Notamacropus eugenii: one gene and its partners. The protein of the gene in region 3 purifies or fractionates together with the protein of the main gene of each other region. This does not show direct contact. Links are inferred from orthologs where the notes say so. Each region holds a gene or a part of one and is shown on either strand. Other genes may lie near its edges. The genes, in order: NAPA, NSF and SCFD1.

Region 1 (4,000 bases), on a different chromosome or scaffold from region 3:
AGTATCTGAGGCCAGATTTGAATGAACTCAGGTCCTCCCGATTGCGATTGCGGTGCTCTAGCCATTGTGCCCCCCCAAGTTATCAGTATAGAGATGGTAATTAAATCCATGGGAGGGAATGAGGTCACCAGGTGAAGTAGCACAAGGGGAGAAGGGAAGACAGCCCAGGCAGGAACGCGGGGGTCAGAGGGCACGATGTGAAGGAGGATCCAGCAAAGGAGAAAGAGGGATCAAGAAAGGGAGGGACAGGAGGAGAGTGCTCTGCAGGGCCAAGGGCTGCAGAGGTCAAGGAGAATGAGGACTGAGGAAAGGCCACTGGATCGGAGATCATCAGTAACTTGGACAGCGCGGTGTTGGCATGATCAAGTCTGAGGCCGCGCTGTCGGGCTCTAAGAGGACAAAGTGGGGCCCCAGGATGGCATGTTTGTGGGCGCAGGGAATCATCCCCTAGAGAGGAAGGGATGAAATGGGATCAGCCTCGTGGGGAGGGCAGTGATGGAGGAGGGGGCAGGAGGACCTGCGTGATGCCGGTGAGGAAGAGGGAACTCACCGTAGCTTCAGCCTTCCCGGAGAGGAGGAGGTAAGGCTCTCGAGCTTGGGGCGGGCCGAGACATCAGGGATGGAGGGGGGGCGGGCCGGCAGCACCCACCGAGGGCCCAGCTCGCGTCAGAGGAGCTGCGGGATTTCCTCCACCTCCCTTCAGCAGCCCGGGGCAGCCGCTGAGCAGAGGACGCCTGGGACAGGCAGTGGGCACAGAGCCTCCCTGGAGGCGCCGGGCAGTGTCGGAGGAGGAGGTCAGCCTGGGCCGAGGCGGGAGGAGGCGGTCGCTGGCTCTTTCTGTCTCCTGATCCGTCACGTGAGGGAGCAGTCCCTCGGTCCGTCTCCGGAGCCCAGGTTCCCAGGAGGGCAGGAGCCCCGTGCCTGGGGCGGGCCGGGAGGGGGCCGGGCTCCCCTTCTTCCTGGTGACGCCGGAGCGGAGTGGGGAGCTCGGCCGGAGAGCCCCGCCTTCGTGCCCTGGGACACTCCGGCCAGCGCAGAGAGGGCCACGTGGGGCCAGTCCTCCGCAGTCGCTTTCTGCCCTTGGCGACGGCGCACTCAGAAAGCAGCTGCTCGGCTCTCCGCATGCGCCCTGTGGCCCCCTGGGACCTGGGTCTTTCACCTTCATTCCCTGGTTTGGTCAACAGAGGGAGAAGACCCAGTAAACAGGCCCAGCAGCCTGAGCATGCGCCTTTGCGTGGTGTTCCAGCGGCCGCGCAGGCGCATTTCATTGTTTCCTCGGCCCACCTCGACATGCCATGACAGCGCCTATCAAAGACGCACGCTTACCCTCCCCTAGCGCACGCGCAATGGGTGGAAAATCCTTCCTACCCCTTTTCTTCGGGTAACCACAACATCCGGGGCAAGGGGGGCGGGCGGGAGGCGAGGCATCGGGATGGGAGGGGTGAAAGTTAGGAAGTTGTCACCTGATGCTAGGTATCTTGAGTCACGTGCTGCAAGACCGACGGGAGGCAGGTCTGGCGAGAGGACGGCGGGCAGGGATTGGCGCACAGGAGTCACGCGGCTCTACGAGGCTGGAGGTGGAGAAAGGGGGTGTGCGTTGGGGCGGGGCCCACCGGCTCGAGGGGTCGGTGATTGGCCAATGCGGATCACGTGCCTCGCGTCTGCCGCCGTCCTCCGTCGTCGTCGGTCGTCTTAGCCCTCCTCTGTTGTGGTTTCCCGGCTCTGCCCTGCCCCTGTGCCCCCCGAGACTCCGGCCGCTTCCCCGCCATGGACAACTCCGGCAAGGAGGCAGAGGCGCTGGCTCTGCTGGCCGAGGCCGAGCGCAAGGTCAAGAACTCGCAGTCCTTCTTCTCCGGCCTCTTCGGGTGAGAGCGGCCGGCCGGGGGGCGGGCCAGGGAGGGGGCGGGGAATGAGGGGACCCGGCCTGGGACTGGGGGGGTTGGGGAATGAGGGGACCCGGCCTGGGACTGGGGGGCGGGGAATGAGGGGACCCGGCCTGAGACTGGGGGGGTTGGGGAATGAGGGGACCCGGCCTGGGACTGGGGGGGTTGGGGAATGAGGGGACCCGGCCTGGGACTGGGGGGCGGGGAATGAGGGGACCCGGCCTGGGACTGGGGGGCGGGGAATGAGGGGACCCGGCCTGGGACTGGGGGGCGGGGAATGAGGGGACCCGGCCTGGGACTGGGGGGGTTGGGGAATGAGGGGACCCGGCCTGGGACTGGGGGGCGGGGAATGAGGGGACCCGGCCTGAGACTGGGGGGGTTGGGGAATGAGGGGACCCGGCCTGGGACTGGGGGGGTTGGGGAATGAGGGGACCCGGCCTGGGACTTGGGGGGTTGGGGAATGAGGGGACCCGGCCTGAGACTGGGGGGGTTGGGGAATGAGGGGACCCGGCCTGGGACTGGGGGGCGGGGAATGAGGGGACCCGGCCTGAGACTGGGGGGGTTGGGGAATGAGGGGACCCGGCCTGGGACTGGGGGGGTTGGGGAATGAGGGGACCCGGCCTGGGACTTGGGGGGTTGGGGAATGAGGGGACCCGGCCTGAGACTGGGGGGGTTGGGGAATGAGGGGACCCGGCCTGGGACTGGGGGGCGGGGAATGAGGGGACCCGGCCTGGGACTGGGAGTGGGGTGTGTGAGGAGGGGCCCTGGGAGGGTGATGAGGGCCCCGGGGAAGGGAGTCTTTGGCTAGTGGAAAAGGGTCAGCCCCGGGGATGAAGCCAGACAGCTGCTGCTGGGGGGGAAAGGGTTTGGAGCCTGATGGTCTCTGTTCCCATCCAGGCTCTCCCATTTACTAGCTGTGTGACTGTAGGCAGGCCCTGTGACTTCTGTGGGCCTCAGTTTCCTCACCTGTAAAATGAGAGGATCCTGCGGGCAGTAAATATTTGATGCCTTGGAGAGTTTAAGGAGGGGAACGTAGGACTGAAGAATGTGAGGAGGGGATATTGGGGTACCAGGCAACTAAAAACTAAGGAAGTGGAGGGATGGAGAGTAGGGAGAGAGGGGGAGGGTGTGTGTGGTGGGCATGGAGAATTGAGAAGGGAAATAACTTGATTGTTTGTGCCTTTAATTTCTTTCCACTTCTCTTTTCTCCCTCGTGAATTCCTTGAAAGCAAGAAATGTGTCGCTTTTAATCTTTGTAGTTCAGGGAACTTCCAGAACAATTGTTCATAATAAACTTTGGTTGCCTTGATTTGAAAGAGGTAAGGAATATGGTCTAAAGCAGGGATGGAGAACTGTGGCCTCGAGGCCACATGTGACCTCCGAGTCCTCAAGTGCAGCCCCTTGGCTCAATCCAAACTTTATAGAATAAATCCCCTTATTAAAAGGATTTGTTCTGTAAAACTTGGAGAAGGTCAAAAAGCCATACCCAAGGACCGAGAAGGCCACATGTGGCCTTGGGGAACAGCTTGCTGGCGGGCACAAAGAAAAAAGACTTGGAAGAAAAACTGAGGAAGAGGGGCTAGAAAGTATAGAAAGCTGTATTAAGAAGGCCTGCAGTATTGGAAGACCCTGGAATGGGGGCACTAGATCTGGAAGAAAAAGTGGGGAGGAGAATATTCAGATACTTGGACATGGGAAACAGTGAGAGCCGAGAACTGGAAGTGGAGAGAAGCTGGGGAGTGGGGAAGTGAGTGTTGACAGTTACGTGTCTGGAATTCCCAACTCCCTGCATTGGACAGGGATTTGTTTTCCCACTTATTCCCAAGAGAAAAAGTTAAAGTTTAACTTAAGGGGAGGGTCACGGTGAGACAGTTCCTTGGAGGATTTCGTTTACCTTTTGCTTGGAGTGTTGAGGCCTTGTAGCCTGAAATGTGATTTGAGGTCTCAGTTTGATAGGTCCTGCCTGAATACCAGTCCTGTGGTCAGCCCTGCTTGTGCCAGCCTGTACTGGGGGGAGGGAGACACCAGCTGATCATGAGGATTTCAGATCATAGACAATACTGCCCATATGAGGGGCAATGTACTGTGAAATCTAACAAGTGGCCTGGATTCTAGAA
Region 2 (4,000 bases), on a different chromosome or scaffold from region 3:
GGAAACCAGAGAAACTAAAAGGAAGAGATAAGGTAGGAGTGTGTTCCAGGGATGGGGGCAGCCAGCTCACAGGTGGGAAATAGGGTATTTTATTCAAGGAACAGCAAAGAGGGCAGTGTCACTGGATTCAAGAACCTATAAAGTCAAACTAATCCTGCATCTTTTTAAATAGGTTTGTTTACTAGACAAGTGGATCAGGAATATACCATAAACAGTTTTTTTCAATTTCAGTAAAAATATTTCATGAGATCATGAATTTAGACTTGTAATGGCCCCGAGGTCATCTATCCTAACCTCTTCATTTTATAGATGAGAAAACTGAGGCCCAGTAAGGTTAGGTGACTTGCCCAAGGTCACACAAGTAACCAGGACTTTTCCCATTTAACCACATGATAACCCTCCGAATAAAATGGAGAAATGTGAGCTGTAAAATCAACATATTCAAAGAGTGTTGACTAATGGCAACACTGTTACCAATGAAGTAAATAAAAATATAAGATGTGCTTATCAAATCTGTGGACAATACAGGGAGAAAAGCTAAAATGCCATATCTCCAAATCAAAATGAAAAAAATAACAGAACTGAACCAACACTATCAGATTTAATGGGTATACTATTGATTACAGGGACCATGTATTTTTTCTTTTTTGTCTCTTCCATAAGACTAAATTTTTTGATTGAATGTAAAATCCTGCACGAACTCAGGATGTGAGAAATTTGGTTTAACAGTTCATGTAAATAAGACCAAAGGGTAAAATAGTTCAGCAGGAACACAATGTAAGCGAATGTGACATAATCATAAAAATACCTAATGTAAACAGAGTGCAGTATTAAAATATAATGCCCAGTTTAAGGGTGATAACAAATTCCACTGTACTCTGCACGGAAGACACAATATCCAGGGTCTTGTGTTCAGTACCACAGCCACACACCTGAAGAAGAACAATGACAAAATGGAAATGACATACAGAAGAATAACCAGGTTTATGAAATATTTAGGAATTACATCAATTTGGAAAGTTTGAAATAAATGGCAATGCTTTAACATCTACAAGAAAAGGAGACATGGTCATTTTCTTCAAACGTTTGATGAACTCTCTTGTAGAAAAGGGATTAATATTTATTCTGTGAGACTCCAAAGGACATAAGTAGGGCAAAAGGGTCAAAGCTACAGCCATGCAGGTTGGTAATTTTCAGATTAATATAAATTAGAACGTCCTAACAAAGTCTGAAATGCTCAACAATGAATGGCAGAAGCTACTTTGTTACCTAATGAGTTTCCCTTTCATCGACAATGTTTCACTAGCGCCTGAATGAACATCTAAGAGATTGTTAGAGACATTACTGCATGAGCACAAGAATTCTACGTGACCTCTGAGGAGCCTTCCGATTCTAAGATTCTATGACCTGTACTTCTGGGGTGAGGCACATATATATGCCACACAGGTACATTCTAGTCATTGGTATATAATCCATTCCAATGGCTTAGCACAAGTAGCAACTCAGAAAAGCCCCTCTAAGTCCCTAATGACGAAGTTAATATTGCCCAGGTCTGCAGCAGGTGCAAGATGCACCATCGCCTCTGGGTTCTGCTACAGACTGTACTGCAGTACAGCCGCTCAGCACATAACCCAGCCGCATCCTCACCCAGCCCTTCCCACATTTACTCTGAGATAGGCTAAAGGAGGAAGTAGGAAGAAAAAGCCCCAAGCAGGGCAATGCACTAAGGCATTCCGAGCAGGGTCATTCATTAAGACAAAACACCTCCCCTCCCCCCTCGAACCCCGCTAAGTGAGATTCTGCACCAGCATCTTTCTGCCCCGCAAGGATAGTGACAGGTCACCCCCGCACAACCACGGCTCGAACACTGAGTCATTCTACCCTCTATCACCACCCCCACCTCACTCTCACACACACTCTGGCTCACACCGGCCCTGACAGGATGGGCAGCTCAGCGGGGTGGACAGGGGAAGCAAGGGGCACCGGCCGCTGCCCGGCTGGCCAGCAAGGGGGCTGCCGGAGCCCGGAGCGCAGCGCGGGGGGAGGGGGTTCTGCCGCCTCGGACCTCCCGAGGGGCGCCAGCCCCTTCCTCCTCACAATCGCTCCTCCAGCCCACGCTCCTTTCCCTGACTTTACCTGTAACCACCTCCTCCCCATGCCCCCCTCAATTTCTACCCGACCCTTGCCCCCCGGGGACGACAAGCCTTACGCAGAGAGAGGGATACCCGGAGCCCAGAGCCTGCCTCGACTGCCCCGCTCCCGGACCCTCACTCACCCGGCCCGCCATCTTAACCGACAAGTACGGCTCCCCAGCTGCAGCTTCGCCCGCCGCTAAGCACGCCCCCGCCGCGCAGCCGCAGAGCCGCAGAGACGCGGACGCGCGTGCGGCCACCCTGTCCCGTCGCCTCCGGCGCTCTCCCCTCCGCGGCACCGCTGAGGCCACACGCTCGGGAGCGCGCGCCGCCGCGGCTCGGGCTCGCGCTCACTGTGCCACGCGAGCGCCCCTCCCGAGCCTGGAGAGCTGGTGGTAGCGCTCCTCCTCCTCCACCTCCCTGCGGGCTGCAGCTCGGAAAATGCGCAGCTGCGGGAGGACCGCGGAGGAGGGCGGGGGAGGGGCTTCATGTCGTCATTTTGAATTGGAATCTGGAAGCTTCCTCGCCTTTGGACTGGGTCAGGCCCTTGTACCTCCCATGTGATGTCACTCCTCTAAACATAGAATGGCAGAGTTGGAAGGGTGTGGACCTCGGGTCCATCCAAATCCTGACTCCTAACTCGCTTTCTGTCCCCAAGTCCGCATGGATGAATTGGATTGCTACCAGAGGGTAGGCTTGTAAATGTTTAACAACCGGCTTTCTTTTTCAAATGTACCCAAGATACACCTTTAAGTTCAGTCTGTATTATTAACATTTTCTTCATCACTTTCTTAAATCTAGACAATCATCAAAACAATCAATCAAGCCCTGACTGGTGGCCAGAGCCAGTGGTCATTGGTTCCAGCTCGGTCCGGCGCTATTAACCTCCACCGGCCCTGTTTAACTTTTCTTTGTGCCGTCATGGAGTGGGGAGCCGGACAGGAAGATCGTGGTTCCAAGTCCTGCCTGACACCCAGGGGAAGTTTAGCTTAGAAGTTACAGAGAAGGTGCCCACCTGCATTTGTAGACAATGTTTCCTTTACCAGTGAAGTCACGGGTGTCATTGTATCCTCAACCCGATCAATCATGCTGTCCATAAGCAGTAAGGACCTGCCCCCTGCCAGGCACCCTGCAGAGTGCTGGCCCTGATCTCAGGCAAGCTCGTCGCTGGAACTGTGATTTCTGAAGATCCTTGACTTCATTGTGTGGTCACTTCACCCACACCTAAGTAGATGTCCCTTAAGAGCTGCTGCAGTAAAGACAAATTGTCACTCGGTGGCCATCCTCCTGGGGAGGAGCCAGGCGCTACCGACGATGTTGTTTGGTGGTCCTACTCAAAGCCTCATCTACAGAGCTGCCGCTAATCTCTCTCTCCTCAATTTATGTTTTTACTCAGACCCTTGTAAAATGTTAATTAGCTCCACTAAGGCAGGGACTGTTTCCATTTTCTTTGTATCCTCAGTGCCTTGCATATAATAAGTGTTTCATAGATACTTTTTTAATGAAGTTGAATTTTTGACACTATAGGACCTACTTTGTTCTCATTCACCCTCAGTATCCTCACTGTAAAATAGAAGTAAGAATATTTACATCATCTGTCTTGGGTTGTTATATTTCGGTCCTTCATTGGATCCATGATTTGTCTTTATGAGTAGTCCCTCTACCTGTGCAGATAGCAACTTATCCACACTTTCTTATTGAGTATGACTCTTGTTCATGTGCTCACGTCAATCCTTCATAAAGGATTTGCCTAGCATGTCCATAACATTCCATTAGACCATAGGATCATAGATTTAGACCTGGAAGGGACCTCAGGGCGGTCTAGTGCAATACACATTTTACAAAGGAGGAAACTGACATCCAGAAAA
Region 3 (4,000 bases):
GGAAAACTTATAGGTCTCTAGAAGTATCTATGAGAACACCTGCATAAAACCCCTGAAGCTTGGGGCAGTGTGCCATCCACACTGGAAGCAAAGCCCTACCTTAACAACAAATTAAAAAGTCAAGAAAAAGGCTGGGAAAAGTAACAAGCAACAGAAAAAATCCAGACTATAGAAACTTACTTTGGTGACAAGGAAGATCAAAACATACGCTCAGAAAAAAAACAAAATCCAAGCTCCTATATCCAAAGCCTCCAAGGAAAATATGAACTAGTTTCAGGCCATGCAATATCTCAAAAAGGCTTTTGAAAATCAACTAAGAGAAGTAAAGGAAAAATTGAGAAGTGATACAAGAAAATCATGAAAAATGAGTCAACAATTTGCTAAAGGAGATCCCCAAAAATACCAAAGAAAGTAACACTTTAAAAAAAAATTGACTAGGCCCAACGGCAAAAGAGGTTCAAACAGCCAATGAGGAGAAGAATGCCTTAAAAAACAGAATTGGCTAAATGGAAAAGGAGGATCAAAAGCTCACTGAAGAATATAATTCCTTAAAAATTAGAATGGAGCAAATGGAAGCTAATGACTCTATGAGAAATCAAGAAATTACAAATCAAAACCAAAAGAATAAAAAAATAGAAGACAATGTGAAATATCTCATTAGAAAAACAACTGGCCTGGAAAAATAGATCCAGGAAAGATAATTTTAAAATTATTGGACTATCTGAAAGCCACGATCAAAAAAGAGCTTAGATATTATCTTTCAAGAAATTATCAAGGAAAACTGCCCTTTTATGCTAGAAACAGAAAGTAAAAGAGAAACTGAAAGCATTCACTGATCACCTCCTGAAAGAGATCCCAAAATGAAAACTCCCAGGAATATTATAGCCCAATTCCAGAGTTCCCAAGTCAAGGAGAAAACACTGCAAGCAGCCAGAAACAATTCAAGTATCATGGAACCACAATCGGAATAACACAAGATTTAGCAGCTTCCACATTAAGGGATCAGAAGGCTTGGAATATGAAATTCCAGAGGTCAAAGTAGCTAAGATTAAAACCAAGAATCATCTACTCAGCAAAACTAAGCATAAGCCATGGGGGAGAAATGGACAATTAACAACAGGAAGTGAATGTTGAAAACTAAAAATAAATTTTTAAAAAGGAAAAAACAAGAGAAAAAAATACATCTTCAAACTTCAGCAAAATCTTTTAACAGGGAACTACGGAAACAGCAAAGAACTGGAAGGGAACTTAGGAAGTCAAATATCTTTATAGACGGGGAAACTGAGGCCCAGAATGAAAGTGTATTTAACCTAAGGTTACACAATAAGTGACTAAGCTAGAATTGAAAGCCAAGTCTCTGGCCTCTGATTCATAATCCAGAAGTTCTTTCTACCACAGCAAGATGTGTTTCCTGCGTGAAGCTCATTAGAGGAGACAACCAAATCTGACTCCAGCTGTGAGCAGGAGATGGTAAAAAGAAGAGGCAATTTTATCAATTACTAGGACGCTCCATCATGGTCCCCTAAAGCCCTCGGCACAATTTTCCTGAGAAAGGGCTTTGCAAAATGCGTTTGGAAGACAGCAAAGTTCAAAGCAAAGTCTCAGGCGCAGTCTGGAGGGGTTACTAAAAATGGCTGGACAGTTCTAGCATTTGGTAATAATGGATATATGTGTATATGTGTGTGTATATAGATATATATGTGTGTGTGTGCATGTATGTATGCATACATATATACACACTCATACATATATATGTGCATATACATATATATCCAGCAGTTGGTAAAATGGACTTTAGAATGCAAAAGTGAGGATAAAATTATAGATCTGAGACTCAGCAGCAGAGACAGGGTGAAACTGAAAAGGGAGAAGCTAAGCTTATCAAGAGAGCAGAGAGAAGGGAGTCCAAAACAAATCCCTGGGGTTACATTTTTCAATCTCATGTCTCCCACATCCTCCATAACGCTACTGTTCTCTGGCTAGACTGTCTACTCACTGTACTTAAAACATAGGATAGGGTTTGCTGAGTGAATAATAAAAACTTCACACATCTGGTAGTATATTAGAAAGAACACTAAATTTGAAGTCTAAGAATCTAGGAATTAATCCTAATTTTGCTACTCCTATTAATGAAACTTTGGCAAGTCTTTTACACCCTGTGATCCAAAGACCAGATTACTCGTTAAAAAGTAGGAGGAAGGACGCACGAAAGGGCAACAGATGCCAGAAACCACCAGCGTCTTCAGTGCACCCGCGGGAGGTCAGGTAAGTTGGTGAACCAAGGCCATCAGCAGGCCCACCTGATCCTGGAAACACGCCCCTGGGTGTAACGCCCACGTAGGTCCACCAGCCGGCCAAACCCCCCGAGGGCGTGGGAGGTGGGAGCCCCCGCCACTGAGCACCTCCGGCAGCGACCCAAGCAGCGGCGGCAGCAGCGTGCCCCCCACGGACAAGCGCCCCTGCCCGACCCCAGGACGCCCGTCCCCCTGAGCGGGCGGATGAATCCGTGCACCGGGGGACCCCTGGGGACTCCTCCCGGCTCCGGGAGGCCCCGCCAGGGCGCAGAGGGGAAGCCGGGTGGCGGCCGCCCGCAGGCTGGGAAGGTGAGCGCCGGGGGCCCGAGTCCGGAGGGGTGAGGCGCGGAGCGGAGCGGGCCCGGGGCAGGAGCCGGGGCTGCCCGAGCCGAGCCGAGCCCGCTCCCGCCGCCCCCGCGGTGGCAGGGCCAGGCCGGCACAGCCCGGCCCAGGGCGGGGGGGAGGAGGAGGAGCAGTGCGGGGGCACGAAGCGAGCGGGTACCTGTCTGCCTCTCTCGGATGCTGGCTGCAGCCGCGGCCGCCATCTTGACTCCCACCATTCACCGCCGGCCCGAAGCCCGGAGCGGCAGGATGACGTGGCTGCCCCAACGCCCCCGGAAGGAAAGGGGGCGGGAAGCGGCGCGGCCGAGGACACGTGGCCCGCCGGCCCCGCCTCCTCTGCGTCATGGGGTCACGTGGCTCCGGGCCCGCGCTGCGCGCGCCGAGATTTTTAAAATCCCCGGATGGGGCCGTGCTGCAGGGTGGGAAGCGGGTCGCTCGGGGAGGGGGGGGCTGTCACGTGTGTGGCAGGTGATCCCACGAGTTAATCGTCGGCCTTTTGGCCTTTTCCCCTTCGGTCGTGGAGACTCCAGACGGTGCTAAAGCAGACCCATCCTTGTGGGAAAGTGGGGGAGGGGAAGGATGCCTCGAGAAAAAGGTGCGTGAATTTATTTAACTATTATTTTACAAATCACCCCAAATCAGTTTTCAGTTTGAATCCTTAGAGTTTATTGCACTTCAAAAAATGGGTACATATGACAGTTCATCTCCCGTAATCAATGGATCAACACTGACGTACTGCTCAATCAGTTCTGAAGCTTCACCAGAGTTGGCAGTGTACATTTTAAATGGCTATTTACACACCTAAAACTTACAATAAAATTATGGCCGCTATTCAAATGTAGCCATCCTTTTTTCCTACCGGCAGCTGTTTTTATTTTCCACACCCACGGTTGAGTGAAATCACAAAACGCTCCTGGTTACCTGTCCTAGAAATGACCCAATACTGAAGAAAAATGACGCTCCAAAATGCTTGCTAGTCCTACTCTAAGTAATCTTTTAAGTGGCCTGAACGTATTCACTGATATTTTAATCTGCCCGCCAGAGATGGAAAACTGAACAGCCCACACAAAGGTCACGCGTGAACGTGTAACACCCTTTGACCATTCTGCGGACCCCCACTGGGAATGTGAGTCTGCTCCTGCCCACCCGCCCCTCTCACTTGGGCTGTGTAACAGAAACATGCGCAAAAGGACACCTTTACAGGCCGTAAAATACAGACAGACAGACAGGCTGAATACTGTACCACGATAAGAAACAGAATTATGAGATTAAAGGTAATAATAAAGCATGCACAGTGCTGTACAGTAAGGTTAACAGGTTCGCCCTTCCCCCATCCACTGAACCCAGCCTTTCCCTTTTTTCAG

The links.
Region 1: the proteins of SCFD1 (region 3) and NAPA purify together in Homo sapiens (affinity purification with mass spectrometry; 3 studies listed by BioGRID and IntAct, with this or other methods). This does not show direct contact. The link is inferred for Notamacropus eugenii from reciprocal best matches to the Homo sapiens genes SCFD1 and NAPA.
Region 2: the proteins of SCFD1 (region 3) and NSF purify together in Homo sapiens (affinity purification with mass spectrometry; 3 studies listed by BioGRID and IntAct, with this or other methods). This does not show direct contact. The link is inferred for Notamacropus eugenii from reciprocal best matches to the Homo sapiens genes SCFD1 and NSF.

The regions. Positions count from the first base shown.
Region 1 is NC_092876.1:29,451,267-29,455,266, reverse strand, and holds the start of NAPA (alpha-soluble NSF attachment protein), read left to right. Parts: upstream 1-1,546; 5' UTR 1,547-1,767; coding exon 1,768-1,865; intron 1,866-4,000. Other genes in the region: uncharacterized protein, read right to left, coding at 558-1,292. UniProt on the Homo sapiens protein: Required for vesicular transport between the endoplasmic reticulum and the Golgi apparatus. Together with GNA12 promotes CDH5 localization to plasma membrane.
Region 2 is NC_092873.1:347,525,767-347,529,766, reverse strand, and holds the start of NSF (vesicle-fusing ATPase), read right to left. Parts: upstream 2,586-4,000; 5' UTR 2,288-2,585; coding exon 2,276-2,287; intron 1-2,275.
Region 3 is NC_092878.1:47,289,123-47,293,122, reverse strand, and holds the start of SCFD1 (sec1 family domain-containing protein 1), read right to left. Parts: upstream 2,933-4,000; 5' UTR 2,855-2,932; coding exon 2,797-2,854; intron 1-2,796. UniProt on the Homo sapiens protein: Plays a role in SNARE-pin assembly and Golgi-to-ER retrograde transport via its interaction with COG4. Involved in vesicular transport between the endoplasmic reticulum and the Golgi.